2 linked regions of the Schizosaccharomyces pombe genome follow. Changing the gene in region 1 together with any one later gene gives a genetic interaction. Each region holds a gene or a part of one and is shown on either strand. Other genes may lie near its edges.

Evidence for each region.
Region 2: mutations in fio1 (region 1) and abc3 impair growth when combined (synthetic growth defect), as found in Schizosaccharomyces pombe (one study listed by BioGRID).

The regions. Positions count from the first base shown.
Region 1 is NC_003424.3:4,233,172-4,238,652, forward strand, and holds fio1 (Fe transporter/Cu oxidase Fio1), read left to right. Parts: upstream 1-1,900; 5' UTR 1,901-2,467; coding exon 2,468-4,336; 3' UTR 4,337-4,703; downstream 4,704-5,481. Other genes in the region: Fe permease Fip1, read right to left, coding at 132-1,325. UniProt on the Schizosaccharomyces pombe protein: Could be an iron transport multicopper oxidase, which is required for Fe(2+) high affinity uptake. May be required to oxidize Fe(2+) and release it from the transporter. Essential component of copper-dependent iron transport.
Region 2 is NC_003423.3:120,815-128,082, forward strand, and holds abc3 (multi drug resistance-associated protein abc3), read left to right. Parts: upstream 1-1,827; 5' UTR 1,828-1,932; coding exon 1,933-6,330; 3' UTR 6,331-6,647; downstream 6,648-7,268. UniProt on the Schizosaccharomyces pombe protein: Iron-regulated vacuolar transporter that mobilizes stored heme from the vacuole to the cytosol in response to iron deficiency.

The sequences.
Region 1 (5,481 bases):
AGCAAACGAATGCAAAGAGAGATATCAGTAGTGGGTTCATTTGCAAAGAGAAACAAAATCAATTGTAGGGGGAATTTGGGAAAGGAGGGGAAAAAAAGAATAACAAGATTTTTCGTTCAAGCATGACTACTTTAATGAGACTCACGAATTTCATTGATGACATCGACAGTTTTGTCGTCTTTATGTTCTTCGACGGGAGAAGAAGACTCGCGAACTTCGGTAACGATATCGATGGCTTTGTCGCCTTTATCATCGGTAGGAGAATTGATTTTGAATTCATCTTCAGAGGAGGAGGATTGCACGGGAGTGTGTGAAGAGGCAGCCTCCAAGTCGACAACTTTGTCGCCGAGCTTGGCAATAAGGAGTCTTGCAGCACGACGTTCCTTGTACCACATGAGGAACATGATGAAGGCTACGAAAAGCCAATAGATGATGTAGCTAAGGATGGAACCATAGGTACCAGTGTTGTTCCAACCTAGAATGGCATTGAAGATCATGTAACCACCATTGGAATTCATCTCTGGATTACCATAGTTGACGTGCCAAACGGCGGATTTGAAGGGATAGGAACCGGGACCATCACCGAGCTCACCAGCATCACCACCAGTTTGATGATTCCACTTATTCATTTCAAAGTAAAAGGTGGCCTTGGACATAAGACCGGCGGAGATAAGGTAGAGGATACATGTTGAGGCAATCAAGAACCATTGCAAGTTCATCACATTACCACCACGATAGATAAAGTAACCGATAAGACAACCAACGATGAGACCGCAAATGACTGGAAGAGGGAAAGCGGTGGCAGGTGTTTCCAAACCGACACCACCGACAAAGACGACGACTTCCAAACCCTCACGCAGAACGGTGAAAAAGGGAAGGAGAAACATGGAATACTTTTTACCCCAATTGGAGATACCTTTGGCCTTGCGATTGGCGATACTTTTCATAAGTTTCTTGCGCCATTTCTCCTGTAAATGCGAGACACGAAGCATAGCGAACCCCATTACGGTGATCAAGACGACAGCGATGAGAGAGAAGACACCTTCCCAAATTTCTTCGGAACCACTCCAAATATCTTTGTCGAGGGCATAAAAAGCACCGATAAAGCCACCGCCAATGGCTAAACAAATGAACAAAGCAGTAAACGAACCGATCCAAACCTGCAGCATAAATTTTCGCTTTAGTTTTGGATCCGTCACGTTTCCATCTTTATCCATGAGTGTTTGGGAGATGAAGGACATCAAGACTGAGACGATGATGGAAGCCTCAAGGGTCTCACGAAGGACGATGAAGAAGATAGCGACGGAAAAGACGTCTTTTGCCATGGTAGAGAAGGTGGGTAAAAGAGAAGAAAAGAAAGAAAGAGAGAGAGAGAGAAAAAAATAAAATGAAATAAATTTCAAACCTTTTCAATACGAATTGTATCCTTCCACAATTTGTCAACGGGTATAGAATGCGATGCAGTGCGATGCCTTTCAATTCAATGCAATGTAATGTACTTTGAATGTGCAAGTGTACAGTCGTTTCAAGCGATCCACTACAAAACTCAAGCCACAGGCCAATGTCCTTTGTCTCGTTCCTTTCACCGCGTTAGGGCAAACAGGCCGGGGGGAAGCATGCCCTTTTAATCTGTTTGACCCACTTCTTCCAGGCATCTGGATTACATCTGATAACTTTTGTCCAGATTGGTAGATAAGCAACCGATCAAAGTGGACACCAACTCCGACCCCAAAACTGTCCTATCTTGCCTTACCCTAAGGAGCATATCTGATGAATTATTCTGTTGTCAGAGACAAACTGGTCAATCTCATTTTTATCCGATATGGCGTCAAGAGGAGGGTGCGACCCCACCCACACCCTCCATCCTATATATACTCGGTTGGTGGGGCGAGCGGATTTCGATTTTCTACGCAAAGTACCGTAACTTAACTTACCGTAGCGTAGTGTTTGACTTGTGTTTGGATTGCTTTGGTGCTCGACTCGTTCACATATAGGCAGGTGAGAAGATTTTGCGAATTAAGGATTTGACGAACCGATCCATTAAAGTTGGTTAGAAGATCCACAATAGCTCACTAAGTGGTTGCGAATTTAGTTGGGTGCAGTTCGATATCGTGGTATAGCATCGTATCGTATCGTATCGTATCGCCATAGAAGAAAGCTGGTGGTTATTAAGTTGGGGGCCTTTGTCAGTGTATAAAGATATCAGATCAAGAATTTCAAAAGGCAAAACAATAGCTGGTCAAAGCGACGTTGAAATCGCAAGTCAACTTGTTGTAGGTTTTGTTGAAAAACGACTTGCTTATAAAGCCATCACTGGACAAACGGTAGCGATAAAAGTACACCCCCTTTCTTTTTTTTTCTGCTGTTTTTTCTGCCTTTCTCTCTCTTTGTTTTCATTTCTTTTTTTTCTGTTCTTTTTTTTTTTTAATATCTTTCCTTATTCTTCTTTTCTCTCTTGCGCGCTATAATGAATAAATTTTTCTCCTTCCCCATTCTCGGCCTTCTTCTTACATGCGTTCGCTTCGTCGTCGCCAAGGAACGCTTGTTTGAATGGAATGTCACAGACGTTTACGACGTCGACCCTGATGGATCGGGAAATTCCCGCTGGGTCATTGGTGTTAATAACAAATGGCCCATCGATCCCCTTGTCGTCGACTATGGTGACCAAGTCATCATCAAGATGACCAATTCCCTCGCCAATAATCGAACTACTTCTTTGCATTCTCATGGCTTGTTTCAAAAGTTCACTCCTTACATGGATGGAGTGCCACAAAGCACTCAATGCGAAATTCCTCCTGGTGCCACTTTTTACTACAACTATACCGCTTTGCAGAATGGCACCTACTGGGTTCATTCTCACGACATGTCCCAATACCCCGATGGCCTTCGTACCCCTTTTATCATCAACGCGTTGGAGGAGCCATACGATTACGATGAGGAGTATATCATTTCCATGACGGATTGGTACTATACTCCTTTCAACATTCTCGTGCCCGATGAATTTAAAACTTGGAAAAATCCCACCGGTGCCGAGCCAGTCCCCGATACCGGTCTTTTCAACGATACTGCCAACGCTACTTTTGCCATGGAGCCTGGTAAGACATATCGTTTGCGCTTCATCAACATTGGCGCTTTCAACAACTACGATGTCATGATCGAGGATCACAACATGACCATCATCGAAGTGGACGGCGAGTACACAGAGCCTCAAGAGGTTAGCTCCATCCACCTTACAGTCGCTCAACGTTACAGTGTGCTTGTGACAGCGAAGAATTCCACCGATCGCAACTATGCCATCACCGCTTACATGGACGAGTCGCTATTCGATACGATTCCCGACAATTACAACCCCAATGTAACGGCCTGGCTTTCTTACAATTCAGATGCTTCATACGATCTAGGGCCTGACATTGACGAAATCGATTCCTACGACGACGCAGAGTTGAATCCTCTCTATAGCTGGGATGTCACGGAATCCAATCATTCCATCAACATATGGTTTGACTTTTTCACCCTTGGTGACGGTGCCAACTATGCAGAAATCAACGATTCATCCTATGTGTTCCCCAAGGTCCCATCCATCATGATTGCCAACAGCACCAATGTAGATGGCTACAATTTGGAGCCCGTCACGTATGGACCCTATACCAATGCATATATTTTCGAGTATGGTGATGTGGTGGACGTTATCATTGACAACCACGATACAGGAAAGCACCCCTTCCATCTTCACGGACACACCTTTCAAGTGTTGGAGCGTGGAGAAGAAAATGCCGGACTGTACTCGGATCAAGAGTCGCACACATACTATGACAATCCAATGCGTCGTGACACCGTCGAAATCGAACCGGGAAGTTTCATTGTCATTCGTTTCATTGCCGATAACCCAGGTGCCTGGGTTATTCATTGCCATATTGAATGGCATATGGAGAGTGGTTTATTAGCTACGTTTATTGAAGCACCGGAGATGATACCCAGTATCTCCAGTCCTGATTTTGTGAAGGAGCAGTGCATGTTGGATGGTGTTCCAACGATCGGAAATGGTGCTGGTAACTACAAGAATATTTCCGATTTGTCTGGTGCACCGTCTCCTCCCGGTGAAATGCCAGCTGGCTGGACTAGCAAGGCAATTGGTACAATGGCAGCATGTGTGATTTCAGCCTGTATTGGCATGGGATCGATTATATTTTACGGCGCCTCTATTCATCCAGTGCCGACGGAGGAGTTAGACGAGAATGACGATCTGCAAGAGGCAGCATTGGAAAATGCAGCTATGTTTTTGGACACTGACAAAGCTGTTGAGAAAGTGGTGGAAGGAAAAGATGAAATAAAATAAAAATAAGAGATGAAAGAAAAATATGTGTTTCCTACCCCCAAAATTACAGTTGGTGTGTCTTTTTTTTTTACTCCGTTTTACGTTTGTTTAAAGGAAAGGAAAAGAAGTAACGGATATACGCGACTATCTTAATAAGCACCTAAGAAGAAGAAGATCAAAGTAAGGTGTATGCAATTCGATGAATTACTGGAAGACTAACCCCAGTAATGAATTTTTGTGAGCGTGTGTTTGTATTTTTTTTTTCTATATTTTCCATTTTATTTACATACTTTAAGGATTTTTGTATTTGGAAAAAAGTGCAAGATTTCTTTATTTTTTTTTTTACTATTAGTCATTTTTCATAATATCAAAGTTTTTAATTTCCCCATTGTTTTTCTATTGTCATGTAGGTATGAGTATATTTTGTGGTAGGTAGATCAAAGCAAAGGCAGCAGCAGTATGCGAGATACAAATGTACGAGAAAAAGCGAATAGAAGGGCAAAGCGAAAGCGAAAATTGCTCACGAGGAAAAAAGAGTGAAGAATTGTCATGTAGAAAGTGTCGGTAAGCGATTTTATTCGTTCGAGATGACAAGAAATGCTTGATTAGCTTGTCTAACGAAAAATTAATCAAACAGTAACTTCCTTGACGACCTTTTTAATAACAAGCATACAGTAGAGACAAGAGTAAAATGGTCATAAAACAAAGATGAATTGAAAACATGAATGGGTGTAAAAACATTGAAAACGTATGCATATCAAACCATTACTCAAATGCCAGTGGTACCTTTGACTATTACCATATTGGAAAGAGTTATCGCAATATGTTGATAATTTTATCAATCCCTAACTATCGTTCTAATGATTGTTGTATAGTAAACCTACTTTGGTAGAAAGGGCGTTTACGCAACAGATAGGAAATGAAATGGATGCGCACCGTCCAATTTGCATCCGTCTGCAAGGAGTTGGAAACTTGATACAATTGGCGATTACCAAGGCAAACTAAATAGGTTGACCTCGGAAATGCTCTGTGTGCACGGCAGCAGCAAAAATTAGGGAAAGGGGTTATGGCGACCGCGGTAGAAAAAAGGGAGTTACAAAGAAGATGATTGTAAACTATATGAGGAAGGTTGGAAAGCGGATTCAGGAACGGAAGTAGAAAACCAT
Region 2 (7,268 bases), on another chromosome or scaffold:
TCATTTAAAAAAATTTTCACTAGTCGAAAGTTTTTACGGTATTATTATTTTCATCTTTTCAAAGCATTATCCCAGTCTTACCACGAGATGTTCCTACATAATATGCTGCGCTTTTCATAAAAGCACATATCCTGCAAATATCTCTTCCATTTAAGATTATTTCGTTTATGCCTTACCCATGGATCTACGATTGATATCGAAGTTTGATTGAATTATGATTTCTTTGATACAATCACGAGTTATGTAAATGATATCTGTTGTGTTCTCGTTTTAGTATATTGGGTTTAACCTTTTCAAATTTGTTGCTAAATTTATATGGCACAGATCAGAGGTCGAACCCTTTTATTATTGAACTACTTCTTCTTCGGCAGCTCTCTAGTTGAGTAGCTGGCAGTTATGCTTACCATAATTGATTAGACATATCAATGAACTTAAGCATGTAGCGGTGCTCGACCGTTCAGACTAAAATAACAAGGTAGGGTCATTGGAGAAAAAATCATAAAGAAAGACATTTCGATATTTTGCAACGTCGGGAAGCAAATTGGCTGGGGTAATAACAACGACCGTTCTCATTAGTTTGAACTTATTAAAAAGGGGAAATAGTCATTGAAGCACTTAGTTTTTGTTTTGAATGCTAAAATGGTATAATACGTCTGTCTTACTAAATATAGCTACCAGTCTATTTATATCAAACTTATAAAAGCTAACAAACTAAGATCTTCGCATTTCAAGCAGAAAATCATTGATTTGTAATATATATTAATAGTATTTTTGTCAATTTGAGTATTGTTTACTATTTAAACTTTTCTTGAAGCAATTTGAAGATCCTAAGTTACTAACTTTTGCTAATAAAAAATAAAAAGCTTAGGAATATTTACACAAACATAGAATCAATTTCTTTTCTTCTTTTGTTTCCCATTTTTTTAAATTGAACAAAAATAGGGAAAATCTTAAAGAAAGCAAGCAATTTATTATGTTATCGAATTATCAAATATTTTTTACTTCTTCTTCAGCATTATAATTTCCTAACTAGTTTTGTTTACAATCAAGAATATAAAATTAATGCAAATGATCAAAATTTGCATTCGTAAGAATTTTTATTCAAGTGAGTTCAACTAATTGTTGTGAGGCCTAATTTATGTTAATCCATACTTCACAAAGATGACAATCTTCGAATAAACAGCTGAAATTATGCTTCATTTTATATTTAGTTTGTTTTTGATTTTATTTTGGAAAAGAATTATAGTTATAAAATTTTATATACTGGATACTTATACTTTTCCTAATCTTAGGACTTCCTTTGTCGTCTTTTACCACCTCAGTTAAGGCTTTGCTTGTTGACATAAAGTATTATTGAAACTAGAGAAAGTACTATAGACGAGTTTTTCTGTTTTATTAACTTCGAAATTTTTAACGTGATAAACATTGCTAAGATGCGCAAAGTTTCACTTTAGATGGAACGCTAGACATCCAGGTGCGTTTATAAGACGAGAATCATAACTATAGTTTATATCTAAAAGTTTGATATTTCTAAAATGATATCGTTTCATAAAACTACAAAATATGAAAAAATCTCAGTAGGTATTCTTTCAAGGTCTTCTCTTTTATTGATTACAGAACACATCTACAACAGTGAATTAGAGGTTTGCTTGCCCTTCCTAATGGACTGAAGACACTTGACCGGTGTCGAATCTAAACTCCGAGTTCAAGAATATTTAACTCCGATTAATTTATCAGATGTTATTAAGCAACATAATGAGATTCAGCGCAAACGTTATTAGTCAACTACCAACACTTTTATAGATGGTGATCTGATATCCTAACATTAACTTTATTTTGAATCCTACATAGCGCTCCGATTACTCTACTTAGCCCTGTATAGAAAGACTTAAGCATCGCTTTTAATAAAGTATTTGGATAAGTATACATGTAATGATCACCGCAAACAAAGGCTTGTCTCTGGTTTTGCTTATCCCAAATTTATTCGCTTTAGTTAGCGGGGGCTTACAATATGTTTTTGACGTTAGGAGACGGATCTTTCGTCCTCACTTTTCGCAATTTTGGACCATCTGGATGAAGTTCTTTTCGATAGCACTTGTTATTATTACACAAATATATGTGGGATATAAGACAAAAAACATCGGGTGGAATTTTTTTTCAGTTGTAACTTATTGTTTCGTATTATTTTTACAGTTTGCTGAGCAATCAACTCTAAGAGTTCCCATGGCTTCTCTATTGATATTTTGGCTTCTGAAAGTAGTTACCTCACTTTTGATTTTGTTGTTCAGTCCCTATATTGCAATTACCAGTATGGCTCGGTTGCTTACTTTAATTACTCTGTTCTGCTCGCTCGTATGCTTTATTAGTGAGGTTTATGTCCCGCCTTGCAATCGTGTCTGGTATTCTGATGATACAAACGAAGTTGAAGAGAAGGGGATAAGACCTTCTGAAGTTCGATATGCGAACATATTCTCAAAGTTATCATTTTCTTGGATCAGTTCTTTCATAAAATTTGGTTACACTAACTATTTAAAGGAATCTGATGTTTGGCTACTTCCTCCAGATGAGCGATCTGGCAATTTAATAATTGGTTTTGAAGACTGGTGGATATACCATTCGAAGAATAAACGAAGAAGTCTGTTTTTATGGAAACTTTTATTTTTTAATCATTGGAAACTTGTAGCTCTAATTACCATCACAAAGTTGATTCAAGATGTACTTGCTTTTGTTCAGCCAACATTGATTCAGAAAACCATTCTCTTTATTAGTTCTTATACTTCTCCCAATCCTGAATCCCCAAGTAGAGGTTTTATAATCGCTATCTTGGTTCTTGTCGCTAATTTCCTCCAAACTTTATTACTACAACAATATAATCAGCTTATTATGTTGCTTGGAATGAGATGGAAAACGGAACTACTTGCATCTATTTATCGTAAATCTCTTCTTCTATCAAGTTCAGCACGCCAAAATCGATCTATTGGTGATATAATAAATTACATGGCTGTCGATACTCAAAAAATAAGTGATCTGCCGATATATTTATTCATTATTGTTTCAGGTCCATTTCAAATTGCTTTAGCTCTTTCAAATTTATACCACCTTATGGGATATAGCGCTTTTACGGGTGTCGCTGCATCCGTTATACTATTTCCATGCAACATTATTGTCGCCAATGTGTACAAGAAGTTTCAAAGTATTTTAATGAAAAACAAAGATTCCCGTTCCAAATTGATGACCGAAATTATCAATAATATACGCAGTATTAAACTTTATGCATGGGAAACCCCATTCCTTCAGAAGCTACTGCATATAAGAAATACTAAAGAATTAAGTATGTTAAAAAAAATTGGTTTCATCACTGCAATTGGTGATTTTGCCTGGATTTTTACTACCATTATTGTTACAACTGTTGCTTTTGGAGCCTTTATTATTTTCCATGGGAAAACTCAAGCTCTCACTGCGGATATAGTATTTCCTGCTGTAAGTCTTTTCAACCTGTTGCAATTCCCATTGGCCATGTTACCCACAGTAATTAGTTCTTTGTTGGAAGCATCTGTATCCGTTTCTCGAATATATGAATTTCTCATAGCACAAGAATTGGATTACAATGGGGTACAACGATTTCCCGCTACAGAGATTCCTCATGAAATTTGTCTTGAAATTAAAAGTGGCACCTTCAGTTGGTCTAAAAAAACACTAAAGCAACAAGTAACGCCAACTTTACGTCAAATTAATTTTGTCGCAAAAAATGGTGAGCTGACTTGCATATTTGGCAAAGTTGGAGCGGGTAAGTCTTCTTTGCTAGAAGCATGTATGGGGAATATGTATAAAAATTCAGGTTCTGTTTTCCAATGTGGTTCACTAGCTTATGCAGCTCAGCAACCATGGATCTTTGATGCAACTATCCGGGAAAACATTCTCTTCGGATCTGAATTTGATCCTGAATTGTATGAGAAAACCATTCATGCATGCTGCTTGAAACGTGATTTTGAAATATTTACTGAAGGGGATCAAACGGAAGTCGGCCAAAAAGGTGCATCGCTGTCGGGGGGTCAAAAGTCGAGAATCTCACTTGCTCGTGCAATATATTCTCAAGCAGACATCTATCTTCTCGATGATGTTTTGTCTTCCGTAGATCAGCATGTAAGCAGAGATTTAATTAAAAATCTTTTTGGTCCAGAAGGTTTCTTGAGGACGCACTGTGTTGTTCTTACAACAAATTCTTTAAATGTGCTTAAAGAAGCAGACTCAATTTATATATTAAGCAATGGAAAAATTGTTGAAAAAGGAAACTATGAGCACTTATTTGTCTCGACAAATTCTGAGCTAAAACAACAACTATCGGAGTTCAACGATGAGAAGGACACGCAGCCTTTACCCGAACATACTACATCGTATCCAAGTACTCAAATTTCTTTGGCTCCTTCAATTCATGTCGAAGGCTTAGAAACGTATTCTTCAAGTGAAAGAAAAGATAGTTCTAATAAGTATAAATCTAGAAAGAGAAATCCGATCCGCCAAAAAGTGACAGAAGATGATAAGGGAAAGTGTGTTGCTCAAACTGATGAACTTGTTCAACGCGGTAAGGTTAAATGGCATGTATATTGGATGTATTTTAAATCATGTTCCATCGGCTTAATTTTACTATACTTCTTCTTCATAATAAGTGGTATAATGATGAACGTCGCAACCAATGTTTGGTTGAAACATTGGAGTGAAGAAAATGGAAAATCAAGTTCAGAACTTAACCCTAGCCCTTATTTCTATCTTGGAATTTATTTATTTTTTGGATTTTTATCATGTGCTTTCATTTCAAGTAGTAGCTTGACTATGACGGTGTTGTGCGGTATACGAAGCGGTCGATATTTGCATGATTCAATGCTTAAGACGATTTTGCGTGCTCCGATGGGCTTTTTTGAAACCACGTCTAGTGGAAGAATCTTAAACCGATTTTCGAACGATGTATACAAAGTTGATGAAGTAGTTTCGTTGACATTTATGTTTTTCTTTCGAAATTCAATTCAAGTGCTCTTCATTTTGGGAGTTATCTGCTATTCTGCACCATTATCTTTACTTCTGATAGTTCCTCTGTTTTTTCTGTATCTTTATAATAGGGCTTACTATGTGCGAACTTCACGTGAATTAAAAAGACTAGATAATGTCACCAGAAGTCCTTTATACGCACATGTTCAAGAATCATTAAGCGGTTTATCAACAATCCGAGCGTACGGTATGCAAGAGACTTTCGTTGAAGAAAATGACCTACGAATTGATACCAATCATCGTGTATGGTTCATGTTTTTCAGTTCCAGTAGATGGCAAGCTATTCGAGTGGAATGCATTGGAGACTTAATCATTTTTTGTACAGCATTTTATGGAATCCTTTCTGCAATTAAAGGTAGTCCCAACCCGGGCTTAGTGGGTTTTTCGCTGTCATATGCAATACAAATTACTCAAGGTCTCTCATTTATAGTGCAGCAATCTGTTGATGCTGAAAATAACACTGTTTCTGTAGAGAGAATTCTAGAATACATTAATGTTAAGAGTGAAGCACCGGAAATTATTCCAGAGAATCGACCACCTTGTGAATGGCCCACTGATGGGGCAGTCTCTTTCAATCATTATAGTGCTAAATATCGTGAGGACTTATCCTTTGCTTTAAATAACATTAACATTGAAATTTCCCCACGGGAAAAGATCGGTATCGTCGGTCGCACCGGGGCAGGAAAATCAACTTTGGCGATGGCATTGTTTAGAATAATTGAACCAACTGAAGGAAAAATTGAAATAGATAACGAAGACATAACGAAATTTGGATTATACGACTTGCGCTCGCGATTATCTATCATTCCACAAGAAAGTCAAATATTTGAGGGCAACATTCGAGAAAATCTTGATCCGAATCATAGACTAACTGATAAAAAAATTTGGGAGGTATTAGAAATTGCTTCTCTAAAAAACTGCATTTCTCAGTTGGAAGATGGATTGTATTCTAGGGTTGCTGAAGGAGGTGCAAATTTTTCGTCTGGTCAACGCCAATTAATATGTTTAGCAAGAGTTTTACTTACTTCGACCCGTATATTATTGCTGGATGAGGCAACAGCATCAGTCCATGCTGAAACTGATGCTATTGTACAGCAGACCATTCGCAAACGCTTCAAAGATCGTACAATTTTAACAGTTGCACATAGAATTAATACGGTAATGGATTCAGATCGCATCTTAGTCTTAGATCATGGAAAAGTGGTTGAATTTGATGCAACTAAAAAATTGTTGGAAAACAAAGACTCGATGTTTTATTCGTTGGCTAAAGAAAGCGGTCTCATTTAATAATTTTTAATCGTTCTTTACCTGTATTACAATAAATCTAGATATCATATCATACTTGCAATTGAAGCTATTGGTTTTTTACACGTTCAGAAAAATATATATATACAAAATGAAGTTTTCTTTATGTTTACATGATAATTTTGTTCGTAAAAGCAGTATCACTGATATCTACGGTTTAATTCGCTAACTTTTTGGTTATCTACTCTTCTTTGTACGTTTAGCCTGATATTCTTGTGGTAATGAATGAATACTTAAATTTTTGGAAATGAATATGATTAGATTATATGGCGCAGTACAACAAATAGATTTAAAATAACTCATACAGTATATTAAAAAGAAAATCAAACGTAAAGGCTTCGGGATATAAAGTGATCAAATTTCTAAGAAAAAAAAGCGTTAGCATTCGAGGAGGGTAAGTATGATTAGATGTTTACTTGAAATTAGAGTGTTAAAAAATATGGCTTTATATCAAATAAAATATCGTTGCAAAACCGTGCAATGCTTCGTCAAATTGACATTCACCTAGACTTTACTAGTTTCATTCGCGTATTAGATTTCCTGTTAACTCAAATAGAACGATAATATTCTGGTACCGTAGCAATTCATAAAATTAAATTCGGCGGAATAACGAAAGTTGTAATTATTAAGTCCTAACGTCTCTATCAAAAGTTAGCACCAGCCTTAACATCATTGCGTACATTTTCTTTCTAAACTTTTAGGGTAACATTTTGGAATATACTAATGTTTACAAATTCAATACCAAGCTACATCGCTCCAGAACGATCTAGTGAACTTAAAGGCATTGCTTCCAAAAAAATAAAATATTTTTCCTTAAAATGCCTTTCAGAGCAGTCAATAAAAAAATAAAAAATCGAACAAAGGAACATGAAAAGAAGCACGAAAAAAACCTATATAATTTGCTTCATTTGAAGTGTAGA